3 linked regions of the Alligator mississippiensis genome follow. The protein of the gene in region 3 interacts with the protein of the main gene of each other region in a pairwise test. Links are inferred from orthologs where the notes say so. Each region holds a gene or a part of one and is shown on either strand. Other genes may lie near its edges.

Region 1 (10,637 bases), on a different chromosome or scaffold from region 3:
TACCAGCCTACAATTTAATCCTTCATGACCAACACATCAGATGATGCAAAGTTAGTCAGCAAAAGGAGCACAAAATGCAGATCTATCTTCACTCCAAAGCCACCAGAAACCCATTACCTACTGGAATATGAATGTACCAGAGTTAATCTTCTGGAGGAAAAGGAACAAAAAAAAGATTAGAACATGCTGGCAAATCTCTGTGGCCCCCAAGCAGGATGAGAAACAATGGCGCGTGCAGCAGGAGAGGGCTGTACTCTGGGGGTTGGGCTGAGGTTACTTACAGATATAGTGATTCCGCACTCGTGCCAGACGCACCATATTTTTCAGCTCCTCGTGCCGGAAGATCTCCCGGCTAAACGTGTCCAGCCGAGCATTCGCCACCCTCGCCACCTTCTTCCCTGCAAGAGAAGAAGAGGTGAAATAGGAACCTGCAGCTGGTAGGGACAAGCATTTATACCTCATGCTACCAGACCAGCACACTGCATTCAAAACATGCAGGTCTCTGCACCTAGCTATGACACTGGAGACCTATACCAAGAACTACGTAATTTCTAATACAAGGTTCAGCGCAGGATAAGTTCCAACCGCCACCCCACCCCCAACTACTCCCCAGGCAGGGCCAGCTCAAAAAGCTCAGCTTGTCCAATATTATACCTGGAGCCAGCCAGCAACTCATAACCACTGGGAGCGAGTGGCCGACAGCCTGGAGTTACAACAAGAGAGGGTTTCTGGACCCTGGAGCAGCAGGTAACAGTGCAGAGGACAGTCACAGAGCTGAGTGAAGAAGTACTTCCTGCCTTATCAAAAGTGTTAAAGGAGTAAGAGAATAGGAGGTACCAAACCAGTCACTGGATGCATCTATATGACAGCCATTCATAGGTTAACCCCAGGCCCAGGACAGAATGGAATGGCCTAAGCTGGGCTGGAGGGACATCAGAGGAAAGAATCCATCTGTGCAATGCTTGCCTCTAGCCTGCGCTCAGTCTCCCCTTAGCCAATGCTAAGGTCCTGGGGTGGGGATAGAAAGTACCTTTGATGTCCTGGATTTCAATGACTCCAGGGGAGAAGCACTTTTTCAGCTTCTCAGCTGCCTCCCCCTCAATGGGTTGTAGCAAAGTGATGTCAGGCAGCAGCCGGTAACTAGCAGTGGCCACTGGAGAAAACTTAGCATGATCTTTACCTGGAAAATAAGGGAAGAAAAAGTCATGACCCCAGCCAAACCCTATGCAATGATGCAGCCAGAGGAGCACTGAGGCACCATACCCCACTCAAAGGCCACAGTCCCTGCTTTACTAGCCAGGAGACAAGAGCCTGAATGAGTTGCTGGGTGTCATGAAGCTCCTCTCAGTACTGCCTTGAGCTTCTGCAAAAATCAGGAGAAACTACTTCCATCAGAACACCTGGTAACACCCCTTGGCACAATGAAATCCTATGGGGGTCCTCATGTCATTTAGAACTTCAGGCACTCACCAAGCCACCCTAGAGGAATATCTGGGCTCTTTTTCCTTCCTTCCCCACACACCCTGCATCAGGGGTACTCACACTTGTCTCACTGCCCCAGCCCATAACCCCAACTCACCGATGCCCTTGACACAGTGCATAAGCACATCGATTTCTTGGCCAGGCCGTAACTGGGCAATGAGGATGTCATCGTGAACAGGTCGAAAACATGCATCTGGGAAAAGGTCTGCCTGATTGCCTAGAGGTACCCACGTCATATGTTTGCTGTACACTGTGGAGAAGAGAGGTCACCAATATCTAACCAAGTTGCCTCAGCACCCATGGAGAGAAGCCAACACTTCACAACAAAGGGCTGCTGTCCCAACAGCATCAGGTCTTGCCAAAAAGAAAGTTTCACAGAACTACAGGATTGGCTCTCTTCACTCTCAAGGGTAGGAAAAAAAAATTCAGGTTACATGGGGCTTACAGCAGGGTCCCCGGCAACTTGGAGGTTTACCTTTGTGATTAATATAGAGCTCATTAGGGTCAGAGGACTCCTTGGCTGCCCGAGGGTTTCGGCTGCACTTGATTTTCAACTGGAATTGGAGGGTATCAATTTCTGTGCCTTCCTCATCTCCTGGGAAGAGGAAAAACAGAGCGAGTCCCAGGCTAGGCCACGTCCTCCACCCCTTCCTGAACCTAAACCAACACAGCTCTGTGTCACCCCTTCTGAAAAGCCCCCCAATGCATCCTTTTGTCCTGGTGCTGGCTCTCACCTTGGCTTCTGTACTCAAAAAGGCGAGGGTCAGCCTGGATAGGGATAAGGCCTAAGCGATGGGCCAGGATCTCATCCTGCACAATGGATGTGTTGTTATACACAAAGACCTTCTCCACAGCCATTGTCGGTACCTTAAGGAGTACAGAGAGAGCAAGTCAGTCCTGGCAGGCAGCATGCCTGAAGTGCACCCCCACCCAATATCAAGCCAGAACATTTCTGCTCCACAGAGACCCCTTCTGGGGTCTAATTAACTCTTCCTGGTGACAGCTCCTTCCCACAAGTGATCCAAATCAGTGGTTCTCAACCCTTTTAGACTCAAGCTCCCTTGAAAGACACCAGCTCTGAGTTATCATTCATTTCTTGAGTGCAAAAAAAAAATACTAGAGTAATTCTTCTGTTGCAAAGAATTCAGACAGACCACAGCAGGTCGCAATGGTTTTGACACCAAGGATTCCTGTTTGTAATTACTGGTTTTACCTCACACCTTGCATGCAGGTGTTCCCACATCTAGAAAGATTTAACGGTGCTCTGGTTGAAACTTGCTGATCTAAACTAGGTTCCTCCATTTCCTTTCTCCTCTGCTTTTACTCTTCTTTTCTTGCTCTCTGTGCATCTCCTAGTTTTCTTGCAGGCCAGACTCTGCAGTCTCTTCATAACTGACTAATACCACTAGTTTCACTGTTACCCCAGGCCAGGCACAGAGATCTGTGCAAAACACTCATGAGGAAGCAGCTCCAGTGCTGCCATTTGCAGTATATGCTGGTTAATTAAACAGCTTCAGTTTGTAACACTAGGCCTGTCTTAGACCACCCTCTCTGGCTGTCTGGAGAGGAAACAATCCGGTTGCTTATTTCCTCTCCAGAATATATGCTTTGCATCCTCCAGCATAAACACAAGCTCAGCAGCAAATGAGTCGTCCCGCAGCCCTTGACCTCCCTCTACCCCCAGCAACTTTGGCACTTCTGCCTTTTCTGCTCTAATCAGTCTTCCTCTTTTCCCAAAAGTATGACCTTATTTCTTCAAGCTGTCAACTCCCACACCTGCTCCAGCAGTGAGAACAAAACTTGATGAAAGGCAAAGGAAACTGCGACAGGGAAGGTACAAGCCTGCAGCTTCCAGCCTGCACCAACCCTGCTGTGGACCAGCTCCCTGCGGCAGCAAGGGACTGCGGGGCAGAGTCGGGGACACGACAACTGGGTCACGAAATCATCAGGAAGTTGGATTGGAAGGGACCTCCAGAGGCCACATCTAGTCCAGCCCCTGCCTGAGGCAGGATCATTCTTGTCCAAACCATCTCACAAGAACCACAACCGCTACACCTGACCACCTGCAACCCTGACACAGCATAGACCTGACACCCCAACCTGCTGCAGGTCAAGCCAGGGACCCATGAGAGCCACCGTCCTGCTTCTTCAAAATATCGAGTGGTCCTGGGCAGAGGCCTGCACCCCTGCTACAGAGCAAGGCAAATCCCCCCACAACCCAAACCAATTTCGCCATGCAGCAAAATCCTTCCTGACCCCAAACCTGGTGCTTGGTCCATCCTGAGTGGAGCCCAGCACAAGCCCCTACCTCGGCCAGCAGGATGCGGCGGAACGCGTTGGCAATGGCGGCATCGATGCCCACCAGGTCAAACTCCAGCAACCCCTCATCCATGTTGGTCACGTCCACGTGGAAACCCTGCAGCCCGCCAGGGCAGGGGGGACAGGACACCGCGGGGTCAATGGGGTGCCCCGCTGCCACCCCCAGGAGCTCGGAGGGGCCGGGGATAGGACACCCGCTCCGCCCTTGCTGCACCCGCCCGCCTGCACACCTGGCGGAAGGTGGCCGGGTCCCAAGCGTCGGCGTGTCCCGGGTAGCTGCCGGGGAAGTCCGTGGTGTGCACCTGCGGGGCGGGCAAAAGACGCGTGGGTCACGAGGGACACGCGTGGACCCGAGCCCCCTCCGCCCGTTGCCCCAGCCCCTCTCCCCCCTCACGTGGCGGACGCCGAACTCGCCGAGCACCACGCGACTCCGCATCTCCTCCACGCTACCGGGCGCTGCCATCTTGCCCGCGTGACGCAAGCACACAGCTCCTACCCATCACGTGACGCTGGGTGGACGTGTTACGTTCCAGACCTCCGGTTCTTTGGGACTCCCCTCTGCGCAGGCGCACTAAGAGTCCGACGTACTGCTCCCCCATGCTGTGTGGCTGCTCCTAAGAGAGGATGCTTTTAGTTACTATTTCTATGGCACGTCCCTTGCCTTGATTCCAGAGCTGTTATGACTCACGGAGGACGTCTCCTTTGTCCGCCCGGTCTCAGTTTGTGTTTCTCTTTTGTTTGCTTGAGGTGTTTTGTTTTGTTTTTTACTTCCGCCATCACGACGATGGCGCTTAAGGGGAACTCTCGCGAGAGGGAAGCCCAGCTTCCACGTCCCCGCCAGGGCGTGCGTCACATCCGCTGCCCGAGCTATCTGGCCGCAGCTGTCCGAAGCCCCTAGTAGCGCGGCGCGGCAGCAGGATGTCTGGGGCCGTCGCGGCGGGGGGCGGCAGGGGCGGGGCGGCCGCGGATTGGGGCGGCTTCGAGGACACCATGCAGGTACCACGGGGGGCGGGGCAGCCGGGGGGGAGGGTGTATTCAGGGGAGAAAGGGGGTATCATGGGGGGGGTGTCCTAGGGCATGGGGGAGGTCATGCCAGGGGCTGGGGGTATCCTGGGCCCGGACTTGCCCGGGCCAGTGCTGACAGGCAGGCGGGTTGCGTGCAGGCTGGCGGCAGCAGCGGGGCAGCAGTGATTGACATGGAGAACATGGACGATACGTCGGGGTCGAGCTTCGAGGACATGGGCGAGATGCACCAGCGGATGAAGGAGGAGGAGGAGGAGGAGGCTGAGGCGGCGGTGGGGGATGAGGAGGACGGCGAGTTCCTGGGCATGAAGGGCTTCCGTGGGCAGCTGGGCCGGCAGGTGGCCGATCAGGTGAGGCAGGGCTGGGTGCCATCCCACCCCCACACATGCACATACTGCTGCCTGCCTTCCCCAAGGGTGCTGGCCTTACTGGCCCCGTGGCACACAGAGGGTGGGTGGCTGGCAGGTATGTGCCCACAGGTCCACATGTGCACTCAGGCATGCTCATGCATGCATATGAAGCTACACATGCACACAGATGTGCGTACACGTATGTGCATTCATGCACACAGATGCACGCATGTGTACACATACCTGTGGTTTCTGCCCAGCTTGCAGCCCTCCGGTTGACACTGAGACACTCCAGTTTCCCTTGCAGTTTCAGGGGATGACCAGGCAATAGTTGCACCAGGCTGGTGGTGGGAATAAGGCATGGGGTAGCCCCCTGGGAAGTCATTTCAGGGCATTTCCTGGGACCGTGGCTCCTGTCTTGCTCTCGACCAGCTGCTCTGCATCCTGGCTGCTTCCAGTCGCCTAGTGCTCCAGCCCTGGGGTAGTCCCCTGGGTGGTGGGAGGGTGGCAGCAGTGGTCAGTCTGTCTACTGCAAGTTTCCACCTCTTCCCCCCCAGATGTGGCAGGCAGGTAAGAGACAGGCCTCCAAGGCCTTCAGTCTCTACGCCAACATTGACATCCTGCGCCCCTACTTTGACGTGGAGCCCATCCAAGTTCGGAACAGGTGAGCAGGGGCGGGGAGGAGGGGGGCTGTAAATGGGCCTGTGCAGGCTCCTCACCTTCCTGCCCCATCCAATGTGAGGGATGCTTTTGAAAGGCTCCCCCAGGAGAGCAAAACAGGGGCTGTCTTGTTAGAGCTGCAGTGGTGTTGGCAGAGCCACCCTCCTTAAAGTGGGAGGCTGCTCATTTTGTTTATAGGTCCTTGGTGCTGTTTCCAGACATGAACTCAGCAGCATCTTCTAGTATGTATAGTGTTCGTTTCCCACCTCTTCTGATGTGTGGCGAGCGATTCCCCACCTCTCTCCACCACATAACATGGCTGGTTCCACAAGGCAAAGCTTTGTGGGGTCTTCTCTGATAACCTCCTGCTGATCCCCACATCCCTTGTGGTAGCAAGTCCTTCCTTAGTTCATTGGGCTGGCAGCCGCCTTTCAGAAACTGGCTTGTGCAGTTAATTAGGATTGCAGTACAGGCTTTTTCCTCTGGAGGCAGTGTTGCCACCAGTGCCCCAGTTGTCCTGGGAACTGGCTGGCTTGGTTGTAATGGAGGATAGGATATGGAGTCATGCATCACTAAACCACAGGTTCTAGTCTGGCCCTGGGTCCAGGCCTTAGCTGGCCCAGGGAATGGGGGACAAGGGCTTTTCATGTTTTGGGTTTATTGTTAACCTCTTCTGTTACCTTCTTTGTTCTTGAAATCTTTGTGTACCTCTGTGTGGTGCAGGTTGCTGGAGTCCATGATCCCTGTGAAGATGATTAATTTTCCACAGGTGAGTACTTTCCCAAGGAAGCTTCCCCCACAGAAAATTAGCCTCTGTATCCCAACTGAATGGGCCATGGGCCCATGGAACACAGTTCATTCATATAAACAGGAGTGGAGATGGCAGGGTAACAAGTGCTCTATCAGTGGGCTGTGCACCTAATACTTGCTGAGAGTTCAGCACTCTTAACCAGAAGCAAAAAAAGCTGTAAGAGAGACTTTATTAAACCTTTGCTTCATCTTCTATCTTTGCAGAGCTGGCACAGTTACTCAGCTTTAGCTCCTACTCCCCTCTCCAGGGACTTTTCTGAACTGCCAGTTTGCTAAAAGAAAGAAGCCAGTTAGATATATTGCTGCCAACAGAGCTATAAACAGCCTTTGTTTTCTCTTGTATGAGAGCTGGGAACTCCAGGTCTGACACAGACTCTTTCTGTGGCCCTATGTTTTGCCTCAATCTCCCCACAGTTAATGGAGAGCTAGTGACGAATGGGTGGCAAGTTAGTTAAAGCATTATGTCATACGTGTGCAGCAGTCATTGTTTCATGTGAGTTGCTCGGGCACAGATTCCTGTAATGGTTCCTCAGTCAAATCTTTGGGCAGTGGGACAGAACTGACCCGGGCTCCTGTTCTGGTGCCTCACTCAGCAGCTCTGTACCCTTTCCTCAAAGACTCTTAATCAAATGGTGAGTTTAGTGTTGTCCTTGTCACCAGCCTTCGCAGAGTAGCAGCTCAGGTCAACAAGTGGTCAGGTCACAAACTCTGTATGAGGCACCTGCTGTGTCCCTTGTTCAGTGTGATGCAGCACTTACCAAGCCCCTCCCCTGTCTGTCTCCCCCTGTAGAAGATTGCAGGTGAGCTCTACGGGCCTCTCATGCTTGTCTTCACACTGGTGGCCATCCTTCTGCATGGGATGAAGACCTCGGACACTATCATTGTAAGAGCAAGTCTTGGTTACAGGTCAGGTTTTGCACCCAGCTGTAAGACTATGTGGAGGTGGGTGAGGGAGACTTTGTTTTGGAAGGGACTTGAGTGGGAAGCTGGTGGGAAGATCTCATTGCCTAGGGCTGGAAGATGCAGAGGGACCGATGCCCTGTTGCCCCGAGAAGCTGGCTGGTGGCAGCTCAGTGTAGTAGATTGTATAGCCTCCTCAATGTTGCCTTGTGCTGTAGCTCTTGTGCCAGGTACCAGTTGGCAGCAACAAGGGCTGGGTTCAAATTTCGGGATACCCAATAAGTTTTTTACTGTGGCTCAAGTACCCACCCAAAAATCTGGGATCGCTCAATTGGATGGGGGTGCCCCTCATAAACAATGCCCCCTCCTCGCAAGCAGCGTAAACACAAAAGGTTAGATATATTACAATACACAAAGAAAGCACTATCAAACAGCAAGGTATAGTTTGTAGTTGCACCTCTTTGGAGAGACTCCACCCATGTCCAGGCAGTCTGGGACTTGGGGGGCTCACCCAGAGGGTTAGTTCTGGAGGCCTGCACCCCTATACCTGCCACTCAGCAACAGGCTGGACAGGAGGGACCCACACCAGAGAGTCTTATGAGCTACGCCTTGGGGTTCACTGCACCTCAGGGACCCATCATTGCTCCCTGTGAGGCTGTGTAGGGTGCTGATCTCCACTTCTACATGGTGGCTGTGGAGGGGTGACTGTGGCTCCAGTTAGCATAGTGCACCCCCAAAATTCCTAGTTCCAATCACACAGCTCTGCTGGGGCAGAGAAGATCATGAGAAAAGCCTCATGGGCTAAGCCTATCTGCAGCAATGCCTGGCTGAGTGTTCCCTTTCATGTTGGCTCCTCTGGATGGGGGCGCTTCATTGGGGTCCTTTTTCCCAACCCCAGCTCCAGCCCCCTCTTCTAGCCAGCTGCCTCTTCCTATGTGCCCGGCATGATATTACCAGGTTTTGCCATGCTTCCATGCCTTTCTCTTAACCAATTAATTTAAAAAACACTGATGATCCCTTGATTTGTACAGTAGAAAAGAGACCAGATTTTCTGGTCTCAGAACAAGCGGGGGTGGGGGGAGCCTGAAAGAAAAGGCCATAAAGCAGGGGTGGGCTTCTGCTTACTGTCCCTACAGCATGCATTTCCCCAGATCAATGCTTACAGGAGGCCTGGGGGTAGAAGGAAAGCAAGATGCAGTATTACAGCAAAATAGACACTGGTGGCATCCATGATCATAGCCAAACTAAAGTGCACTTTGCGGTACAGGAATTATACACAGCAAACACACAAACAGCGCACTTTGCAGTACAAACAAGAAACATAGCAACATGAAACCAGAACACATATTGCAGTACAAAATGACTTATTCATTTTGTTGTGTTATGTTCTCCCTTCATTTTGTGTATGTTATATTCTCCCCCCAGCCCAGAATTTGACATCCCCGCAACTCAACTCCTTGGTATGGGTTATTTCTAATGCCGGCATGGGACGGTAACAGGTGTCTGTGATGCAACTCTGCAGCTATTATAAGTTAGGTGCTGCACAGGCCTTCTAATTCTTACTGCCCTGGGCATGGTAGGGACAGGTGCACAGTGGCTTTCTCCTGTAGGTGACAGGAGGGTTGGAGGTCCCTCTCTGTCTATCTCAATTAAGGGGTGGTCTGTGCCAGGCTCTAGTCAGTTCCCCCTTCCGGGAGTCTGTCCTTTCTGGGTGGCCCTCCTCCATGGGTAGTGGGGGACAGACTAACTCCCTGACTGCCAACTACAGGTTTCGGTGTACAGTTTTCTCTGGACCCAGCCCTGTCTCAAGTCTCACCTTATAGACTGGTAGGTCTCCTAGTCATTTGACCACTAAGTAAGGTGTGGCCTTCCATCTGTCAGCTATCTTGTGTTTTTCCACTATGCTGAAATTCTGCAGTAGCACCCTGTCTTCAGACTGGAGTCCTTGTACCCACTCTCTAGCATCATACTGGTGCTTGTGTCTTATCGGTGTTCTTAGAAGTGGTTGTCATGGTGAGGTGATACTCTTTCTTAAGTCTGTCCCACGGTTTGGTGAGATACTGTTTATGCACTTCATAACCCTTGCTGTCTTCAACTACCATGAAATACAAGTCTATAGGGAGGCAAGGTTCCCACTCAAACATCAAAAAGTAGGGGCTGAGCCTGGTGGTGTCACTCTGAGTGGCATTGTAGGCATGTGCCCAAAACACAACATGCTGACTCACTTTCTGTTCTGCACACAGTGTTCCCAACATGTTTAGCAAAGTCCAGTTGAAATGCTTGGGTAGCAGGTCCCCTTGTGGGTGATATGGGATGGTTCTGGATTTCTGAATTCCAGCTATCTTGAACACCTTTCAGAAATCAGCTTTCAAAGTGTTTCCCCTTATCCGAGTGTATTCAACCCGGAAACCCATAAAAGGAGAAGTATTTTTCCCACAGCACACAAGTGACTAGTGACTTTCTGGTCCTGAGTGGGTTATACTTGGGCATACCAAGGGAAATGGTCTGTCACTACTAAAATATCCCCAATACTCTTCCTATCTAGTTCCAGAGACAGGAAATCAATATATACCAGTTTGAGTGGCTTCATACTGGTAATATTATGCAGATAGGCAGACTTGGAGGGTACGCTTTTCCTTTGCATGCACTGAGCACAAGACTCACAATTCTGTCAGACATTGCCAGCCATCTGTGGCCAATAGAATCTATCTTAAATAAATTCCAGCGTCCTTTCAAACCCCAAGTACCCAAAGTCATCATGGAAAGCTGTTATGGCTACAGTTCTGTATCTGTTGGGCAGCACCAACTGCTTTCATTGCTTACCACATGGGTTGGTGGTTACTCCGTGCAGCATTCCATCCATCAATTTAAGTTGGACCCATTCCCTCAGGAACACTTTAGTATCTGCAATTAACCCGATTAGAAGAGTACCCCATTCCTTTTACACCTTTTATAACATCACGTGTCTGGGCTTGCTCTTGCACTTCTTGCAGACCAGCAGCATTAAGCCTACGCAAAGGGGATTGTTCCAGCACCACATAGTTAACAGATAGCTGGAGAATACTCTCCAGGGGAAGACCCAACATTTTAGAA
Region 2 (11,261 bases), on a different chromosome or scaffold from region 3:
TGCTGCCATAACAAGCACTTGGAGCTTAAGCCCCCACATAGGCGGCTGCAGTCATGGGCCGATGACTGGAGAGCAATATTGGAAAGCAAACGCAGGAAGTAATGGAGAAGGGAAACAGTGCTGTTCACATCGCAGATGGAAACAGCTGGGTTGTGAACTGGCATTCAAGTCCCTTTTGAGGGAATCACTTTGACATAGCTCAGGCAGCACCAAGGGCTGACGATACTAAATGGGGAATGACTCCCAAACTTTGAGTCATCACAGATGTGCATCTCCTTCAAACTTCCTGGAACACTTGCCCTATTAAATTATTTCACTTTGTCAGAGAGTTGTTATTGAGCTGGAGGGGGAATCCTTCACAAGAGGAGCAGCAGCTGGTTGTGAGGTCTAGTACCGTGTTCTGGGATGCTTGGGTGAAGTAGGCAGGGCACTGAACCCCCAGTTACATATCGTGCCACCCACCATGCAGTGACAGGTGTGGATGTAAGAAAGTCATGTTTAACAGCATTGGCATTTCAGTGATCTCATTTACTGGTCAGAACTTATTTGGCAGCTTACCCTCTACCAGACATGACCTGCTTTATATTACAAATTTGCTCTCGCAGCCCAGCTCCCTCCCTGCCTCTTTCCAAACAAAGCTACTTCCATCTGAATGGTTTTCACCCCTTCTACTTGGTTTCATCCCTCTGGTCTGTGCCCAGCAGCTATAGGCAGGCTCTGAAGACAGGGCCAGCTCTCTCAGTTACTACCCCAAGCTGCTTGCGCAGCTCTGTGCTGCTCAGTCCTTTGGGAGGGGGATCCCTACCGCAGTGTGTTTGCTTAGGCTCCTGGCCTCCTCGACCTGCACAGGTGTACAGTAGTCCTCAAGGAAGACCACTGCCAGATTGCTCAACCTCCTGTTGGTAGAAAGGGAGAAACGCAACATGCACTCCACCACGGGGAGAGCCGTGATCTGTGGGCGAGACTGCGGCGTGGTCAGGTACATCAGCGTAGTGACTGCCGACATCACCGTTTCCTCATTCGAACTGGATAGGCAGTTTATGATAGGCTGCACCCCATTGGCCTCCAAGATATAGTCCTTGTTGGTTTTATCCAGGCAGAGGTTACAAAGACCACCTGAAACAGAGAGGACGCGTCTAGCATCTGCTAGCAACACCTTACCTCTGACGTTGAAGTTTCAAGTGCATTGGTGCAACCAGGCTGCTCACTTCTTTTGTAAGGCTTATCTACATGTGAACTCAGATGAAAATGCCTAAATCGTTGTAACATGTTTTAGTTTGGTGAAAGTTTGGGTAAGAACATGCCTATATTTGGGGGTGGAGGGCAGGGGAAGTTACCCAAGATATCTTGCTTTAGCTGCTATTGACTTAGGCCTATCCTTCAGAGAGACTTTCCTCTAGAGCAGTGAGAGACAAACCTTTCAGCCATCTAAATCCTGGGGATGAAATGTTCTAATAATGCAATAGCAATTGTATAAAGTACATAAAATCCCTAAGGCTAAGCAAGGGTTTACACATCATTGACACCCAGATCCCAATATAGAAAGAAATGCTCAGAACATTGTTTTACAAGCGTTAACATGGTGTATATCATCTGCCTCCTGGTCTGAATTTACTCTCATGTCCTTCCTCAAAGGGAGTTTTCAACCAAAACACTTGCTCTTCTCTATGGCATTAGGGGGCACTGTGCTGTCAGAGGTAACGTCTTTTTCATAGGAGAGACAGAACCCTGGTCACTAGAAATCTCATGGCAACTTTTACAAATAGAGGGTTAACAGTCCAAAGAGTTCAATTGAGCAGTTATCCTGTTTCATCCCAGAGGTGGCTACAATCCAGTAATCAATAAAAGGGTTTCTAGAAATCTCTTTGCTACCTCATACAGAGGGTATAGGGAGGCTTAATTATGTGATCTACTGATGGAAGGTGTTATTAAAAGTAGTATGTCAGTACTAATTGTGTTTGCAATATTTGATTACTATCTGTTACATGGTGCATGGGTAAGGACAGTACTAACCTGTCAGGCATCCCACACTAACAGTGTGTGCTACTTGCCTGAAGTCTTGCCAGAGGAAGTTGTAATATAGATGGGACCCAAGGGTATTTAATTATCCAATCATCTCACCCTGTTTGCCATTTGGGATTAAAATCTGACATTGCTGGCTCCCAAGTTTATATTTAGCCCATGCTGACTCACTGTGATAGGATTGTATTATTTGGTATAAATCATTACCATTAACTGCTGACAAGAGCAAGAGTAACAAATGAATATTGTACTTCCACAGGCTGTCTGGCAAAACCTTAGCTGTTCTCAATGACTGTCTTATGCAACAGAGACTTCCCTTAAAAATAACTATTAGAATTGAGTTGTTGTTCCAGTATTGAGGGACTGGCCTAGTCCTATAAATATGTATTTTGTTAGCACTGCAGCATGCTACTGAAATGAAGGGGAGACTTGCCTTAAGCTAAAATAACAAGCCCCAGCCTCCTTTCCTGCTCTCTCATCCTCCCCTTACATTGTTCCAGTTACTGTATCCTAGAGAGGTTCTTATCACCATTATGTTTGGCTGCCATCCACTATTACATTAAACAGCACAATTAATCTCTGTCGCAGTGGCTCGTTCTTTCTCCAAAGCTCAAATGGACCACTGGGTCGAAGCCGTGAGGCTGGCATCCCATGACTTGCTAGTGCTCCATTAGCACTTCGATAAGCGTTTAAATATAATCCTTACCAATTGCAAACTCCACAAGAGTCTCGTTGTCCTCCGTGAGCGCGTCCAGGAACAAGTCAAGGACTTGAAGCTGCCGGAGATATTCATAATTCTTGGGATCATAGGCAAAGTTGGCTAAATTAGCCAGTACTTGTTCCTTGGCTTCTGCAACATAAAAGCAGCTTCAGATTCAGGAAAGGGACAACTGATAACGGGGACAAGCTGTAACTGAATCCACTATGATGTGGTAGCAGAGTAACTATACTGCTGCAGTGTCCTACTTTGGCCCTAGAGCAGTGGTTCTCAAACTGGTTAATTCAAGGCACCCCATGGAAAATGCTAACTCACCTCGCGCTCATTTTTTTGACTGCGGAAAAAACAATCCAGCAATTCTTCTGTTGCAAAGAATTCAGAAAGACCCCAACAAGTCACAATGCTTTTGACGCTGTGGATTCCTATTTGAAATCTCTTGGGTTTATTTTGTGACTCCTGTAGATTTGTCATTGCAATGGCACCCTTATAAGGATCACACAGCATGCTGGCTGAGAATCACTGCTCTACAGGCTCACATTCAAGCCTTGCTCTTGGCTCATCCTGAAGGATGCTCCCAGCTGGTACAGTGGGAAATGGGCACCTGGTCATTCAGACTGTGGTGTTGAATGGGTAATGCCAGCCACATTGTCTTTTTGTGTGCTGCTGGCTGCTGAAGATGGTGTGCCAGTCCTGGGGTGTCACCCCCGCTATTAGACTGGGGCAGACCTTTGATTTTGTCCACGCAGTGCACAAGGGAGAGCCGTGCAGACCAGCCAGCTGACCCGGAAGCTCAGCAAACACCTTAATAAAATAAAAAGTTGCATCCCACAGTCTCACCTGAACTCTCCGTCACTTGAAACTCAGTGACAAGGGCCTGCAGGTACTCGAGCCGCCCCAGATCCATTGGATCCTACTGATCCTGCAAAGAGAACAACAGGGCTTTATTTTGGCGGGCCCTAGAGTCTCCCATCTTCGCTGCTAGATTAATACAAAGATGTTTGAGTGAGCGTTAAACAGTCCCTGGATTTTCTTTGGAGTCCCTTCAGACCCCCCAGGGGGATCTCACGGGGTCCTCTGGCAAATGTTAACCTGGTCAAGGCTTGGATAGGGCTGCCGCTAAACACGGCGGGGCCCGAACAGGGCTGGGGACAGCTGCAGGTTCCCTGGCTGACCCCCACAAGCATTGTTTGCTCTCCCAGGACAAGTGTGGCCAACCTGCGTGGGCGTGCCATGCAAGCCGGTCAGCGGATGGGGCTGGGAGCAGAAAGCAGAGCAGCAGACTGGGCAGGGAGCACAGTGCTGGGAGCAGAAAGAGCAGCTGGTTAGGTAGGGCACAGAAAGCAGAGCAGCAGTTAGGGCTGGGAACAAAAAGAGCAGGCAGGCAGCACACCCCATGGAGCAGAAAGCAGAGCGGCAGGGGAAGGGCCCGGGGATGGCGGGACCTGCGCCCAGGACCGCGCGGGGCCCGAACCGGCGGCAGGGCAGGAGTGGGTTCACATGGGACAGCGGCGCCCCGCGCCTTGCAGGACAGAGGGCGGAAGTGACGTATAGGGACGCTCAGGGAAGGGCGGAAGTGGCTGCCGAAGGCGCTGAGCCGGAAGTGGTTCCTGTGTCTCCGGGTGGGGGCGGGGCCGGTTTGGGCCTGGGGGCGGGAGCGCTGCGGGCCCAGGAGCAGGAGCTCGGCCCCCTCCCCCGGTCACTGAGGAGAGTTGGGTTTGGGCCAGGCCAGGTGTTGGCAGAGCCCTTTTACCTACTTCACCTCACGGATTGCACCATAGGAGGTTGTTGCCCTGAATCTGCACTGGGGAAAAGGTCTAGTACTCACTGACTAGTACTCACTAGCTAAACCTGCCGGGGCACGGCTGCTTTCCTCGTTGAGGTGACCCTCTTCATTTTGGCTTCTCCGTCTGGAAAATGGAATCATAATAATTCCCACTTCTGTCACGAGCTGATATACGAGGGCTCGAACGGCTCGGCTGTATTTTTGCATGCATGAGCGTACATGCCGCTTGAAGGAGTTTTTCTAGCCTGTTGTTTCCGCTGGGTGGGTGTTGCACACCTTCTGCCCAGCCAATAAGACGTGTAGCCAGTGTCTTTGCCTGATGGTTCATCCTAAAGTGGGACTGAAAATCTCAGGCATAAAACACCCAGTCTTGACCCCTGAAGATTGCTTGGGGTGACATTCACAGCCCGCCTCCAGCTCTGGATGAGAGAGGGGTTTTTTTGCCTATATTTTTTGCTTGAAAAAATGAAGGGCCCACTCTCCCTGGTCAGGAGATGAGTACTTGCACTTCAGACTCGGCAAGTCGTGGAGAATCGTTGCAGTTCTGGACGGTGGAGTCTTCAATGACCCTCTCGGAAGGGTCAGCATTTCTCTTCGGTGTTAGTTACCTGCTCACCTTTGTATTTCCCTAGTACAGACTATTTGTCCCTTGTCCCATAACTTCTCTGAATTGTTTGTAATCGCTTCATTGAGTCACTACTAGGAGAACAAACAGCTTGTTCCCAGACTCATGACATTGATCAGCCTCTTGGCAGGCCCGGGCAGCGCAAGATTTACTTACCCTGGACAAAACAGAAGTCTTTATCCCAGCATCTCCCCCTTTCTTTACTTCAGTAAATGATTAGAGAAACGGATTTGAGAAGCAAAAATTCACAGGGAAGGGGCAGTGCGTGCATGGGTGGGAAAGGGAGGAATGATGTGTGTTTTTGAAATGTATCATTGGGCTGAGATGCTCAGGGAGCGGGAGAGGGAGGGAAATGTCAGAACAAGAGTTAAAAGAGAGAGACAAGGCAGAGACTGCAAAGTGGGAACAATACTGGCACCTCCAGATGTGTGAATGAGAACAGAAAAAGTGGAGTGAAGCCTGGGCTGTGACAGAAACATGGGAGGCCACGACAGGCTAGCAATACAGTGCCCTGGTTTGAATACAGAGTTGCATCAGCTTAACTGACAGTAATTTGAAACCGGTTAAAGTTCATTTTTAAACCCATTTAAGCTAAATGAGTGCAGCTCCAGAGTGTGGGCATGGCTTAAACTATGAAGCAGGGAACTCATTGCAGAGACAAATGATTGATGAAACGAGTTAAATGCAGTACTGAGTTACACATCAGATGATGCCAAATGACCTGGCTGTAGCCAGTTAGATACGGTGGTACTTCTACCCAAGCTTATAGGTTGAGGGCAAGCCTATGCTGAAACTTTTGCTGGTGTCATCGGTGGTGGGGTTCATCTTTTTGAGGGGCCCTAGGTGGTGGGTCTGTTTCGGACCCTTGTGCTTTTTAAGCAACCAGACCAAAACTGTTGTAATGCAAGAAGGGTCTCTGTCCAACTTGGAGCTCAGTGCAGTTGCCAAGTTTGTACTCCCCCAATACCACCATGGATATAGTGATGTCAACCAAGTTGTTAATGACTGAGTTAGACACTTCTGTAGCAGCAGAAGCCCTAATGCACAGAGCCCTACCAGAAGAAAATGCATTCATTGGCATGGGTTATGTTATTTGGGGAGCAGGTCATAGCTATGCTGCAAAAGCACCTGTTTTGCTGGTCCAAGCAGCATCTGCCCAGGAGGGCTTGCTGGTACGAGTCCACTGGGAAATCTTTTCTGGTGTGAACTAGATCTGTTGTTCTTGCTGAGGTTTCTAGAAATAGAAGTGGTGTGCAGAAGGCAGCAGTAAATTCAGGGGCCAGTGTGAGGCTGTGAGGGAGGGGGAAGCCCACTGAGGTGAGTTTGGGAGGTGAAATGATGCTGAAGTGAAGTGGAGGGGGGGGAGAGAAGGATGAGGGGAGTTGGATTGAATGGGAGGGGGGGGAAGGAGCAGGGAAGGAAGAGGGTATCTAGGTCTGAACTTGTGGTCCCTCAGTCTGTAATTCTGCACAGAGGAAAAAAGGAGAGAGACTATCACTCTTCTGTTCTTGCGCACATGTCTTGAGCCTGCGTTAGCTGGATTTGCTAGTATATGTGCTATAGGGATGCACTTCAGGTCATATTATTTAATGCTTAGTGAGTGGGAAAATCACTTATCAGCTCAGGGTGAGGGGCCCAGCTTTGCTTGTCTTCCTGTGACCCACTAGATCTGTTTTCTGAGGTCTTTCTCTTGCTTTGACATAAGCCCAGATTGATTTAGAATCAGAACAATGGAAATTAAGGGCTGGAAGGGACCTCGAAAGATCCTTGAGTCCAACCCCCCTGCTCTGGGCAGGAATACTACTGAGATCAAATGATCACCAAGGTGTCGGTTCAGTCTCCTCTTGAAGACTTCCAAGGTTGGACACTGCATCACCTCCTTGGGAAGTCTGTTTCAGAATCTGGTCACCCTTACTGTAAAGAAGTTCTTCCTTACATCCAACCTGAAACCATTCTCTAACAGTTTATGGCCATTGCTCCTTGTCCTCCCCTGGGGTACCCTAGTGAACAGTTTTTCTCCCAGCTCCCGATGTACACCCCTTACATACTTATAGACAGCTACTAAGTCCCCCCTCAGTCTTCTCTTCCCCGGGCTGAACAGTCCCAGATCCCTTACTTTTTCCTCACAAGGTTTGTCCACCAGGCCCTTAATCATTCTTGTGGCCCTTCCAAGATTGTCCACATCTTTTTTGAAGTGCAGCACCCAGGACTGGACCCAGTACTCCAGCTGGGCTCTCACCAGCGCTGAGTAGAAAGGAAGTATCACTTCCTTAGCCCTGCTCGTGATGCATCTGTTAATGCATCCCATATGCTATTAGCTCTGTTGACAGCATCGCCCTGGCTGCTCATGTTCATCCTCTAAACATGAAGGTGTGTGTGGGGGGATGTTTTTGTGGTGGCGCTGCTACCCCCTGGGAGGTGGGTGAGACAATGTTCACCTGGCTTCTGAGTTGGAGAACTTGAATGTAAGATTTGTGGGAGGCTGACAGACAATACTAGTCACGTTCTTGACAAGACCTGTTGGGAGAGTGGGTGCATTTGTCCCCTTTAAGCTGGCTCACTGCCATGGTTTTCTTTACAGACCGCTCAACAGCATACAGAATTGGATCCCATGAGCTCATCTTTTTGGCATGTGACACTTGCTGTTTATCTTAGGGATTGTTAGAGCCTTTCGAAGTCTGACTGCTGTCCCTGCCAGGTGTTTGCCAGGACAGTTGATGACAACCAGGATGATATCATGGAGGAGGCATGTACAGGGGTAGCCCCTGCAGCTGCAATTCGGTGAGTTTTAGGTTGTAGCATGTGTGTATCACCCCAGTCTCCAGCATGGCAATCTAGGGATGGGCTTGATTCTACAGTCATTAGTGCCTTAAATACAGCTGAAATGGTACAGATTGTGTCTGAATGTCACCCTTCTCAGCTCTGGTTTTTATAGGACCGCAGCAATGGTTCCATTGGTTAAATATCAGTGAGAATGTGAAGTTTGATTAGAATCCTTGAATATTTAAGTCTGAACTTCCTGGTTTGTATGCCACAGCCGTACACAGACACGCTTACTGCAAAAGTGCGGAGGAGCCCAAAGGTTGATGAGACCTGCAGAAACAGAGCAAAGGGGCCTCGGAGGGGTGTGTGTCCCTGGCCAATTCTCCTTGTTCTGCCTAGGTTCTAGTAGTTTATAATCTGGTTGAGGCACTAGTGTTTGTATATAATTAAAGCTGATTTCAGCTTGACTGTCTATGGGAAGTCGGTAAAAACCAGTTATGCTTGGTAATTAAGTGGGGCTGCCTTGCATCATTGGATGACCTTAAGCTAATGAAAGGAACCTTTGTTACGGGTTTCTTTTTCTTTATGTTCTCAATCTTTAGAGCTTGTGGCCTCCCCTTCCTGTCCTCTTGTTCTCCAAGCAAGGGGGACTTTTTATTATGTTTTTGCCACCTGTGTGCATGCCCCTTAGCATATATACACAGGGGGAGACCCTACTCAGGTCTTTAGGTTACAACAGGAGGCAGAAGGGCTGTGGAGCGACAGGGCTGAAGGATGTTAAGGGCTTCATCTAAAAGGGTAGCTACAGTGATCAGCTATAATCTAAAGAGAAGTGATTCCAGATCCTGCTAATTGGGAGAAGAGAAACAGAGTCCAGGCTGGAACCCAGGAGCACAGTATGCTGCTCCTAATCAGGAATTTGATGCATCACCTATTAACTCTGTGCCCTGTACTCTTTCCCCCCACCTTTCCCACTGAAAAGGATGAAAATCAACCTCTGGGGCTGGTTTTGTAACACAGGACTAGCAAGATGGTTCTTGACACCCCTGTTCACTTTCTGTCTTAACCTCTTTGCTGTTATGTCCTGCTGAGCAGTTACTACAGGCCAACCCATCACTTCTTTCCAGTGCTGTCTGCATTGCTTGACTCTTGAAGGACAGGAAGATGCCTCCTGGGACTCCTTCCTGTCTGGCTCGGGGCAGTTTTGATAGGTTCCAGCCTAAGCCTGTATCATGTCCATTTTGGCCATGACAGAGAGACTTTGAGATCATGCGATTTTCCCTCCTGAGGACAAGGTCAGCTGGGAAGGAACAACCGGAAATGTAAAACATTATATTGAATACAGACATCGCTTGAAGCACACGCTGTTGTCTAGCTCCTTTATTTATTGAAGCTAGAACAGGGTTGAGACTTGGTCCTTTCTCATTGATTGGTTCTAGTGAGGAAGAAAATCCATACATTTCCTTGGTATGAAACAGTAGTTGTGTACAGTCAGCTGAGTGACACTAAGTAATTGCTTTGCAGTTATTGACCATCTGAGCTTTATGGAAGTTGCTGAAAACATGTGACTAGAGATAAGATGCCATCACTTCTAGGAAGCAAAGGGCTACATGTAAATCTGGTAATAACCTTACTTGAGGAGATGTTTGATCTAGAAGTGTAAAGTATGTTATGCTCTAGGGATCCTGGACCACTATTAAAATAGGCACTTGTTGACAGTGGAAGCAATACATCATGACCCAACAGGGTTAGTTACAGATACCTTCATAGTCTCAGAAAGCACAGGGGGTCAGCTTTCTAGTGGTTTAATTCCTTGGTTTCTAGGTTTGGCAGGCTGGGACCCCATAATTGCATTGGTCTCAAATAGCAGCTTTGGTTTTGTCACTAGAATTGAAGTCTTTAGCACCTTTTATCCTGGGGACTGCTAGAGCAAGTCTTAAAACCATTTGAAAGTGGAGAGATTCTCGCGCTAATCTCCAGCTCCAGTGTTTTTTGAGAGGGCTGCTACCCTTGAATCAGAACTGAAGTGGGATAAAAGCAAAGTTCATCATCAGGACTATAGTGCACGGAAGAGCCAGTGCAGTGGCTGCTATCCCAGGCCAAATCCAGAGAAGTGGCTAAGATGGCTAAGTCAAAGCTTGCTTCAGCATGACTTCAGACTGATCTTCTAGATTCCTTGGTGCTCATGTGGACCCACCCATTCAGCAGCAAGAAACTCGCACCCACAGGTTACCTGTCCTCTGAATTTGGTCCATGGAGCCTAAAGCTGATGTAACATGCATGCTACAACAACAGAAGAGCAGTGTAGCAGGAAAGGCTACAAATTGGAGGTTGGAATAAAGTGGAGGTTAAATGAAATTCCTCCCCACATACTTCTTTTTCCACTTCTTTTTATCTCCTCAGTACTAGGTTACATCAGTGTGGACTCGTTTATTCATCAGAAAGTAGGTGTCATTAACTCCAAGCATCTAGGGTTGACTTAAGTCCATTTATACCAGAGAAGACCCTGACCTTCTGAGTGTTACATCAGTGCTGAAATTGGCCCTGTGTCTGGCAAGTTCAGGACTTTTTTCAAAGAACTGGTCCTGGACAAGGCCAGAGAAGGAAATGTCCATCTCTAAGTGCTGCTCCTTCTTTTAGTGTCTTAATATGTTTATGTTGGCCATGAACTGTCAGATCCTGTCCTACAGCTCTTTTGGGCAAGGGTGTGGAGGAAAGCACTTGAGAAGTAACTGGCTATAAAATGCAGGCACTCTGAGTCTGCCCTGTTTCCCTGGGGTTTGGTTTGAAACCTTTGTTTCCCTGAAAATGCCCCTGAAATACAAGAATGCTCATTGTTTGGTCATTAGCTCGTAAGAAAAACCACTTGGCCTAGATGTGATTGACAGAAGAAACGTGCCTGAGTTCTGCATCCCGTATAACAACTTCCACATTCAGAGATGGGGGACATGGCAGAAGCGCCTCTTCCCCTGAAATGAAAGTGTTTCTCCCAGCCCCTCTGTGGGAGGTGGTTAAGTGTCACTTCTGGTCCTTGCCAGGAGGATGTGTTCAGACAAGGTGACTTAGTGTGTAACTCGTCCAGGACTGATAAATGTCGCTGGTGTCAGGAAGCTGTGGTAGTGCAGAGGCCGATGTGCTAATAGAGCTTTTCTGGTCTTAAAAACAGCTGTACTTGAAAAAGAAATCAGCCTTTAAAAAAAAAAAAAGTCATAGACTTGAAGCTAACTAGATTCAATTACCCATGATGTCACCAAATGACTTCTGTCATTGCCTCGTGATTCGCATCAGGCATAAAAAAAAAGTGCTGTCTGTTCTTTGGCTTGCAGGCTGACGAGGGGTGTTAGGGTTCA
Region 3 (10,251 bases):
TGAAGATGGAAATCAAACTCGTTGATCTTGGCATCCAAAACTTGATATTTAGGCCAATGAAACACTGCCAGGACGTGCATCAGCCCCACAAAGCACACGAAACAGGAAGTCCAGGGTAAGTTTTAGAAGCAAAAAAACCCACAGGTTGCTGCCATAGCTTACCTGAAGGGCTGTCTGACACAGGTCTACTAAGCCTTGAATGAGGTAATATTTGGCTTCTGCCATCAGCTCTTTGATCTCCTGCCTGTTTTTTGGAAGCGCAATCGTGTCATCTCGAAGATAATTTAAAATCGTTCCAAAATGTTTCCCACAACGGTCTATAAGGATCCAGCCTGAAAGATAAATGCCACAACACTTCTATCTCATCCTACATCAGGAGAAGCAAATGGCACTCATTAAGAAGGCCAAGCATGGCATCCCAGTATACCAACTCTCCACCCACATCCTTTGAAAGGAATCTAAAATCTCCTGAAATAGGAAGTCAATCATGCCCTATTGTCTGTGCTGGGACTGCTGACATCAGACAAGCTGGATCAGGCCCACACAGACATGAAACCGAGAAAGGAATTGCTCATCTCATTACCTCTTTTCCCTCCACCCTCCTAAGAAGAAAGATCCAGCTGGGTTCCTAAGACAAGCAAGACCTAGATTAAAGAACCTAAAACAAAAAATAATCAGCCCTCAAGAGGCAAAACCCCACGGGAAAACCCAAGAGACTGTTCTCCTTGCTGATCAGTCCACACCCTTCTGCACCAAAACCATGCGCTATCATTTGTCTTGTCTATGTCTGATTTTAATCAGTTAGAGGCATGAACCCGTTTAATTATTATGGGAAGTAAGTGGGGGGGTCAATTTTATAGCTAGTCTTAAGAGCTCTATTTAACTGCCTGGGGAGGCAGGTCTATTTTAGAAAACTGGTTATTGTTAGACAGATTGCAGGTCTACTTAGAAGCTCAGGGTACTGCCAGCAAAGTTGGTTCTTAGGATTAAGGAATGACTACTTCTGCCTGCAGGTTGGGAAGGCATACAAGAATAGTACAGGGTCCCAGAACATTTCAATCCTGTGACATACTGGAAATCCTTCAGCACAGTATTTCGATGTTCTGGTTCGAGAAAACGTTGTCTGTGATGGAAGGCCTTTTGGGAGTCTTTCAGCTTGTGTGATTTTTAGTTGCTGTACTAGCAAACATGGTAGCCTAAATAAAAAGAAGTGCTCACTTAATAGAGGCCTATGATGGTTGTTGTAATAGCAAAACATTTCACTATTTTAAAATGTTTACAAGTCTTTATAAATATGGATAACTCAATAATTGAACTCAATGAAAGTACCCGACTCTCTTAATCCCCTGCCAAGGATGGCAAGACTCCTGCCAACATATGTTGCCAGCAGAGACCCAGGTACTGCCTGTTGCCAGGCAGCTTCTCCCTAGGAAAGCATCAAGAGGGCTAAGAGGCTTGCTGAAAGCAACTACTAGGTCTAAACCAGGTCTAAGCTCTGCAGACCACCTGCGGGTATTTGGCAGAGGTTTTTCTAGTCATCAAGCACTGCTGTTTGGAGAACAATAAAAGCCGCATTCCAAAGATGCCAAAGTGTACAGCAGCTCACAGCAACCAGTGAGGGGAGGAGGGACAGGCCATTTTGCTCCCTGAATACGTGCAGGCAGGAAAGCCACCAAACAGGAAAACCCTAGCACAGGAAAGAGTGGAGGACAGATGGCTCTCCAAATGATTCTAAAACATCCCTGATGTTTCATTCATTAGCAAAGAGGATGTACAACCCGCCATTAAACATTGTTAGCACAGGCTGCAGAGTCAGTGGCAGGAAATCTGTGAGAGAGACAATGCCAAACACCCTTGCGTAGCAGCTACTCTACTGCGGAGACTGGAAGTGGAAGGAGAATGAGAAATGTCATTGAGCTAATATCCTACATTTCCAGAGGGATGAAGAATAGATACTTCGAGAGCTGTGTATGGAAGGAGACAGAAACACAGAGAGGTTTACCTCCAATAAAAGATTCTAAACCCTGTTTGGGTAGTAATATCCCTATTTTATGTTTGCCGTAACACAAAGTTGCAGTGTTGCAAGGTTGCCACTAAACTAGGTGTCTAACAAGCCAGGTTTAGACTGATGTGCAGCACCTACACAAAGGTGCATCAGTTCAAACTCAGTGTACCATAACATCCCTAGGTGACTTAGCACAATCTCTGCATGGTAAACAGCTCTTACAGATGGGTACTAAGAGAAATGCTAAGAGAACACAGATTACACATAACCCAAGCCTTGATAATACTTTCCATGCTTTTTGGTTTGTATAAACACTGAGATTGGTTTTATTTAAAAACTGCCCCTAATCAGGGGGCCTCTACTTCCTATGGCACAATCCCCTGCTTTCCTGCTCCTAAAGAATTATTCTGGCTGAGAGCATCTCCAAGAGGAAAAGGAAAGCATGTACAATTACTGATCAAACTGATGATCCTCCTTGTCTATTATTTTGGAAAAAAGAAAAAAAAAGCCGTGAAGCTCTTGTTTACACTGTACACTGTTGGGCTGCAAAGACGGTAGCTTTATGGCTGCTTGCAGATATTAAAAAAACCCTGAAATGGTGCTTCACTTTGAACTCGGTGTACTCCTGTGTTAAGTCAAGCGCACGTCCCGAAGAGGTAGCACAGTCAGTTGGTCCTTGACCTGTACAGATCAGGCGCTTTAGCAGGTCTTTTATCTAACAGCTGATTGAATCAGCTATTAGAAAAAAGCACCAAAAAGCCCTGCTGAAGCACCCGATCTATACAAATGTTGCAGAGCTGGGTAGAACTAGTGTGCTGCTTCTTCCAGTAAAGCCCAGTTACTTGGTTGGTTTGGATTGTTTTTTTTAATGTCTGCAAACACCCTGTAAGCTTATGCACAAGGGTCCAGTCCAAGAGGTCCTGACTGCCAACTAGAACCTCTAAAAGTCATCTCGCTGTAGACAGTTTTACCTGCAACAAGCAGCACATCACCAGGAGAAGAAAAATGCAGCTCCTCAAACAAAGCAGGTCAGAGTTTAAAATAAAACCTTAAAAAATGATGTCACTTATGTACCCCCTTCGCATATTGTGATTGATGCCTCTATGCAACACTATAAAAGCAACAACCCACATACCACCTTATGTTTAGTCCTGGAAAAAGGCAGGCAATCCACATACCAGCTGTGCCATGAGCAAACAACAATCCCAGCTATGAAAGGGGAGATTTTTCAAAGCATGGAGGAGTGAAACTGAAAACCAACAGGGGTTGGGTGTCCCATGCTTCTTGTCTGTAAGAAGTCTCTCCATAAATCTCTTCCATTAACTAAGCTCCCATCCTTAGACACACGCAGCCCCACTGTTGGCACTGCTTACCTTCCTTGTCAGTGAGCACTTCCATCCTGCCACTGAACATGGCCTTCAGCATTGTGTCGTGCCGGGTCAACACCTGGACTGTGGTGTAATACAAGGAGCCCCCGACATTGAGCCGCACATACTTGTTGCCAAGGCTGCCCCCTTTGAAGCTGCAGGCTTTGGGCTTGGCTCCTGAAGCTGGACAGATGGTGGTTAAACACGTGTCCCCAGACATCTCCTTCTGCAAGTAGATGACAACTCTGCAGCACGTGGGCTTGATGGATTCCGCCGTGATTGGGGAGAAGTCACAATGAGCTGGGCAGGGAGGGCAAGGCGGCGATTGTCATAATCCACTGGAGCCTTTGACAACGTTAGAAACAAAAGAATAGATTAGTTTAGTTGGAACCAACCTTTCTGACAGGCAGGACACAAATTACCACTGCACCCTCCCCGGCTGCCACTCCAATCCTCTTCTCTTGCCTGGTTTGCTGCTCTGCCTCCTTCCCTCCGCTCCCTGCCCCATTTGCTGCGTTGCTTTCTGCTTCCTGCCCCCTCCCTGATCACTCACATACCCCACACACAGGCTGCTTGGACCACTTGTGGCATGTGCGCCGTAGGTTGGCCACCCCTGGATTACATCAACAGGGAAGCTACATTTCCCAATGAAAATATGGGACTCATATATTTTATCCCTGCAAGCTAGTCACAGGGACTGCAAGCTAGAAGGACGAAAGAGTAGGTTCAAAAGCTTGTCAAGAGGACACACAACCTTTCAGCATGAGGTTACAATTCAAACCTTACCCAAATAGGTAATGGCTGAAGATTGTCACCATCTCGGGTAATTCATCAAAATGATTTTTAGCCAGACCTCCATTTCCCCCTTCCTCCCACAGGATAAACTTTTCACATCACAAAAACCTATTGAACTATTTCTGTTAGTTTACTGATAGGATTAAAGCAGCACATGTAGCCCAGGCGCAATTATATCAGTATAAAGGTAGCTTACACACCAATAATAAATGTATAAATAAATGGATTTAAAGGTATTTTACACACCAATTTATAGATCGGTATGTTGGGTTACCTTTCTAACGAAGATATTCTTATCAAAGTAACTTATATACTAAGGAGAGAGAAAAAAAAAATCTGCTTTTTAACATAAAAAAGTCGTTATTCAATTAAGATGACGCTGACTTCCCGCAAGGTTTAACTAATTCACAAGGTGAGTTTGGTCCTAAATTTTCTTTCAGACCAGAGACAACAAAAGGCAACTGCGGTTTCAAGCAATGGCTGCTCCCATCTCCGTAGGGCCAGCGTCTGCCTTTCCGGCCCTTGGCGACTAAACCGATGGGACCCGCGCGCTGCCGGGGGCACCTCGCCCCTCGCCCGGACCTCGTCCCCCGCAACCGGGGAGCTTCCTGCGCTCCCCTCCACCAGGTTTCGGGTTGAGTCGATGGGTCTTGCGTTCCCCCCAATTTTTTCCCTCCGAGCCCCCCCCAAATTACCTGAGGATCATTTGAACCCATCCCCAGCACCTGGGGTGTGACCCCGCAGCACCTACACCCCTGCAGCGACAGACGGAGGCACAAACACAGGGAGGCCCCCAGCCGGGCCTGTGGGTGGGGGGCACACCCCTCCCGCCTCACTTCTGCCGGTCAACCCCCCCGAGCTCGTACCGGTGCAGGCCGCTCCGCCGCCGGCTCCACCGCCCCGGCCCGGTCAGCACGTCTCCTCCCGCCCAGGCCCGCCCCCGACTTCTCCTCGCCGCCACGGCGGCGGGGACTACAATTCCCAGCGTGCTCCGCGGGGTGGGGACGCTTCCCAACATGCTCCGCGGGCACGCGCCTCTGTTGTGGATGGGAGTTTCCCGCCGGTAACTGCAACTCCCGGCATGCTCCGCGGGCAAAGACAGCCATTCCCAGCATGCATCTCTCTTATGGACGGGAGCTCCCAGTAGGCCTCGGTAGCCTGGAACTGCAACTCCCGACATGCTCCGCGGGCAAAAAGTCACTCCCAGCATGCACCTCACTTGCGGACGGGCGCTCCCAGCAAGCCCCTGCATGCAAAGACAGCCATTCCCAGCATGCCCCTCACTTGTGGATGGGCCCCGGCAGTCGGGAACTACAACTCCCGGCAGGCCGGCGGCAGGCAGGGAGGCCCCACGACGTGGAGGCCGCGCGGAGGTCAGCAAGGAGCCGAGCCTGGCAGCCACGCGTCATTATAAATAATTAAGAAGAATACTAAAATAGAATGAGAAACAATGGAATGAGCTAAACAAACGCAGCGCCCCGCTACTCTCAGCCTATCCCCTCCCTCCCTCCCCCCGCGGGATGGTACATTCCGCGCGGGGGGCGGGGCTGTCGCCGTGGCAGCCGAAGGCCGCGGGCAGGGGAGTCGCAGGGCGCGGGGGGCGCTGCTGCGCCCATTCCACCGGCGGGTAAACTGAGGCCGCTGGGCGCAGGCGGCGGCCATGGCCCGGGAGCTGCTGGGTGGCGCGGGGCTGCACTTCGACGAGCTCAACAAGCTGCGGGTGCTGGAGCCGGGCGTGGCGCAGCAGACGGCGGAGCTGCGGGAGGAGTGCAAGGCCTTCGTGGACAGTGAGTGCCCCCCTCCCTCCCCCCCGGATCGGGCCCCCACGTGTGCTGAGTCAGCAGGGCCGGGCTGACCCATGTTCCCCAGGGCAGGGGGTCACTCCGAGCCTGGCCCCTCGGGGGGAGGGAGTAGATGCGGTACGCGCGTGGCTGGAAAACATCTGTAACTCGAATTCGTGTCGCACACACGTGTCGCACAAGCACGGACGAGTTGCGTGTGCGGGTTTCCCTCGACGCGCTACACGCGTCGCTGGAAAGCGGTGCGTAACTCAAATTCGTGCCGCGTACACGTGCCTTACAAGCAAAGACGAGTTGCACGTATAGGTTTCCCTCGCTCGACGCGGTAGGCAAGTTCCTGGAAAACGTCTGTAACTCGAATTCGTGTCGCACACACGTGTCGCACAAGCACGGACGAGTTGCGTATGCGGGTTTCCCTCGATGCGCTACACGCGTCGCTGGAAAGCGGTGCGTAACTCAAATTCGTGCCGCGTACACGTGTCTTACAAGCAAAGACGAGTTGCACGGATAGGTTTCCCTCGCTCGATGCGGTAGGCAAGTTCCTGGAAAACGTCTGTAACTCGAATTCGTGTCGCACAAGCACGGACGAGTTGCGTGTGCGGGTTTCCCTCAACGCGGTACACGCGTCGCTGGAAAGCGGTGCGTAACTCAAATTCGTGCCGTGTACACGTGCCTTACAAGCAAAGACGAATTGCACGGATAGGTTTCCCTCGCTCGATGCGGTAGGCAAGTTCCTGGAAAACGTCTGTAACTCGAATTCGTGCCTCGCAAGCACCGAGTTTAGGTTTCCCTCGCTTGACGCTGGAAAGCGGTGCGTGACTCGAATTCGCATCGAGGGGCGGGAACCCACTTTACGATGTAACAAGCATGGATACGTTCCAGGGCCTCGGCTGCAGTGACGTGGCGTCGTGGCGCTCCCGGGGCAGTGGCTGCGGGCGGCTTCGTGGCTCACAGCTCCCGGAGGAGCCGCCGGCCACCTCGGCCCCCCCCAAATAATGTCTGCTTCCTCTGCCTGTGTTGTCGCTCCCACAGTGCACTGCACAAAGCAGGGGACTGCGGGCTTCCGCTGCACCGATCACATAAGAGTGAATTTACCTTGCATATAATGACCATTTCCCATTTTTGGTATAAAAAGGGTCGTTGCCTAAGAGCGAATTTGCACATACGCAACCCGCATAAAGCGAGGGAAACTCGGAAAAGAAACCTGATCCAGGCCTGAGCTTCTCATTGCCAAGCTCCCGTCCAGCATAGATAGAAGAGGTCGATGTCGACTTCCCCTCTCCCCCCCAGCAATATTTGACCTATTATTTATGGAGATGTTTTCTGAAGTGAATTCATTAGTGTAGGGAATGGCTTGGCTGCAGATAGCATTGCTTTCTGTTTGCTACCACAGCCGTGCGAATGGCATGGATACACCTGTGTAAGGCGACTTCTCGTTGCAAATCCTGACTGCTCAATTGCTTTCGGTTAAAGATTAAATCAAGGCAAAGTTCCCGTGAAGTATTATTTATTGTGACATTTCCAGCTCGCAGCACATACAGCAAATGCATTTGGTCTCACGCAAGGAAAAGGGATGGTTTTTTGTAGGTGGAAGCCCAGCTTTGTCTTTTGAAAGGATTATTTTCCCGCAGGGCTTTATTGTGATATTGTATGTTAGGACACTTCACTTGCTAAAGAAGCCAACAAAGGGCTTTATTTAAATCCAGAGATAAAACAAGTCAGAACACAGAAGCACACATCATAGTAGAAGAAATAGCACCCAATTTGAGTAACAAGAAAAACCACAGAACAATCTGTGCGTGCATTGTTCCTGATGCAATCTGTGTGCGCGTTGTTTCTGTCAAGCACAAAGTAATCCCAGTTTAAAAAACAAAGCACTCAAAGTCTATCAGAATACAACACTGGTATCACTTTGATGGATGCATTTGGTATAACAGCAATTTCTCTCTTTTTTTTTCCCCTCCCCAGAAATTGCAGAGTTTCAAAAAATAGTGGGTAGCTTAATTGAACTTGTTGATCAACTAGCAAAAGCAGCTGAAAGCGAGAAGATGAAGGTACTGTGCAAATATTATCTAATGCTATCCTCTGCCTCTGCAAGTAAAGACCGCCCCCCCCCCCCCCCCCTTATTTCACATTCAAAGCAATCTGTAGCAATCCATCTGAAATAGACAGTCGCAGATGGTGGTGCGTGCGGGATCTCTGCAGTGACAGCCAGGTCTCCCCTTATCAAGGTGTATAAAGAACCATTGACAGATTCTGACAAGCACGCTCATTATAGTGTCACATCACTCTTGTATTTGCATTATCCCAGCCCTACTGGTTGTTGGCACATGTGCAGGTAAACATGCTTTCTAATCAGTTTCTTTCTTCCGCTAATTTGTTCCAAAGGACCCGAATTTTGTACGTGCGGCATCATTCAGAAAGTGTCACCAGGGAGAGCATCGTCATTGAAGGGAGTTGGCAGAAGGAAGAGGTTGATTAGAGAAAAAAGCATTTACATACACACTAATGATAGCTTCTTTTGTGAACTCCATTGTTGATGCATACGTAGACAGACACATCACCCATCTGTACACTTTATAGGTTAATTTAGAAATAGTATAATAAACAAGCAAATGTATTGTCATCTTGATTTGGTGGGGGGGGGGCAAATCGGAATTAGCGGTCACCTCTCTGCTTACCTGTCCTTCCCTTGTACCAGTGATCAATGATCCTGTAATATTTCTAGACAAGGCTTTGCCACTGCCCTCTCTGCGGCTTGGCCAAATTACCAGTAATGGTGGTGTTAGCTTCCCCTGACAGGAAAGTGGTGTTATTACCTAACTTGGTAGGATGCCACTATCAGTTCACTAATGTCTGTGCAAAGCTAGCAAGCCTCTGATCCACAGAAATGCACATTGTGCATGACATTTCACAGCTACAAAGACGATAGATTTGTAGGGACTCTGTCTGTACCACAAACTCTCTTAGCATCTATCTTGCTTTGCCATATACTGTGTGTGGGTCAGTTATCGTGGCAAACCTTACGTTTGAAGAGGAAATCCTATGAAGATGTTACTCTTCTCAGTGCCCAAGTGTTTTAAAAGGACCTGAAAATTGTCCAGCTGGAAATGACAGTAGCAAAACATTAATGATAAAATTCCTTTGCTAAAAAGCAATCTTGTTTCTATAGGCAATTGGTGCCCGAAATTTGCTAAAGTCTATAGCTAAGCAAAGGGAAGCACAGCAACAGCAGCTTCAGGCTTTAATAACTGAGAAGAAAATGCAATTGGAAAGGTAAGTTTGTGTGTACATGAAGCCAAGATTGAGAGCTCGCTCTGGAAGTCTGATTTGATCTTTTGAAAGATAATACTGTAACAAACATGATTTATTCAGTTTGTGAATTCTGCTGTGATTGTGCAAGTTAAATGCTTAATCTTAACATGTGCACGCCTGTCTATAAGGGAGCATTGTCCAGGGCTTTGGATTTTAGTTCAGTCCATCTTCAGCAGTTTGGTCAGTGGGGCTAAAACAAAGCCAGGTCTTGCATTCCTGATAAACTGGTGGCCAGCTGAGGGCAGGCTAGGAAAACTGTCCTTCAGTGTTTGGTTTGCTCACTTTTTTTTTTAAAGGTAGTTCAGCATTGATCTTCTCAGTGGTGCAAGGCCTAAGTCATTTAGATAGCTAAATTCTATTTTCAAAGTGACGTAGGAGCCTAAAGCATACTGATTTCCCTCTACCCCAAAAGGCTTAAGTCACTCTTGGAAATGGAACTTAGTCACTTAAATCACAGGGGGGACTAAAAACAACATTTTAACCTCTCTCTCTTTCAGATATCGAGTAGAGTACGAGACCCTATGTAAAATAGAAGCTGACCAGAATGAATTCATCGACCAGTTCATTTTTCAGAAATAAAGGATTTGGAGACCAAACAGCAATGACCTTGGAAAACTTTACCATTCCAGTATACTAATAATTCCAAAAATATGCAGTTTTGCATTGTGTATGAATGAGCAAAATGGTTTGTACAAAGGAAAAAGCTTTTTGTAATTCTATATGAACTCAAAATGGCAATAAGAAAGGTTTTTCCCCAGATGTAAAGAAGACCACTTCTAGCCTTTCACTACTTTTTAAAAAGTTTGGTATGGTCAGTAGTTTGAATTCAAATAAATACTGCTGCTGCTATGCGACTCCCTTACTTTTTGAAATGTACGGTACTTTCAGATAAATCGGAAAAATAAATTATTGTTTTTAGACATTGCTTTCTTTGTTTTTATATTGCCTCTGGATGTCAGAATCAGCTGCT

The links. The genes of interacting proteins can lie anywhere in the genome.
Region 1: the proteins of TNFAIP1 (region 3) and POLR1C interact in binary tests that used the Homo sapiens proteins (3 or more experiments, as listed by UniProt). The link is inferred for Alligator mississippiensis from reciprocal best matches to the Homo sapiens genes TNFAIP1 and POLR1C.
Region 2: the proteins of TNFAIP1 (region 3) and ARMC7 interact in binary tests that used the Homo sapiens proteins (3 or more experiments, as listed by UniProt). The link is inferred for Alligator mississippiensis from reciprocal best matches to the Homo sapiens genes TNFAIP1 and ARMC7.

What each region holds. Positions count from the first base shown.
Region 1 is NC_081824.1:168,537,416-168,548,052, reverse strand, and holds the start of POLR1C (DNA-directed RNA polymerases I and III subunit RPAC1), read right to left. Parts: upstream 4,292-10,637; 5' UTR 4,265-4,291; coding exon 4,196-4,264; intron 4,104-4,195; coding exon 4,032-4,103; intron 3,899-4,031; coding exon 3,791-3,898; intron 2,350-3,790; coding exon 2,217-2,349; intron 2,078-2,216; coding exon 1,958-2,077; intron 1,733-1,957; coding exon 1,580-1,732; intron 1,181-1,579; coding exon 1,031-1,180; intron 399-1,030; coding exon 282-398; intron 1-281. Other genes in the region: protein YIPF3, read left to right, coding at 4,720-4,797, 4,965-5,174, 5,732-5,838, 6,558-6,603, 7,435-7,527. UniProt on the Homo sapiens protein: DNA-dependent RNA polymerase catalyzes the transcription of DNA into RNA using the four ribonucleoside triphosphates as substrates.
Region 2 is NC_081831.1:12,288,656-12,299,916, reverse strand, and holds ARMC7 (armadillo repeat-containing protein 7), read right to left. Parts: upstream 4,292-11,261; 5' UTR 4,212-4,291; exon of another isoform or gene 4,131-4,211; intron 3,660-4,130; 5' UTR 3,645-3,659; coding exon 3,578-3,644; intron 2,873-3,577; coding exon 2,729-2,872; intron 1,117-2,728; coding exon 779-1,116; 3' UTR 508-778; downstream 1-507. Other genes in the region: NT5C (5'(3')-deoxyribonucleotidase, cytosolic type), read left to right, coding at 1-102. UniProt on the Homo sapiens protein: As a component of the minor spliceosome, involved in the splicing of U12-type introns in pre-mRNAs.
Region 3 is NC_081837.1:7,379,005-7,389,255, reverse strand, and holds the start of TNFAIP1 (BTB/POZ domain-containing adapter for CUL3-mediated RhoA degradation protein 2), read right to left. Parts: upstream 5,126-10,251; 5' UTR 5,034-5,125; intron 4,961-5,033; exon of another isoform or gene 4,863-4,960; intron 3,718-4,862; 5' UTR 3,593-3,717; coding exon 3,379-3,592; intron 333-3,378; coding exon 163-332; intron 1-162. Other genes in the region: IFT20 (intraflagellar transport protein 20 homolog), read left to right, coding at 5,828-5,954, 7,935-8,020, 9,139-9,242, 9,779-9,860. UniProt on the Homo sapiens protein: Substrate-specific adapter of a BCR (BTB-CUL3-RBX1) E3 ubiquitin-protein ligase complex involved in regulation of cytoskeleton structure.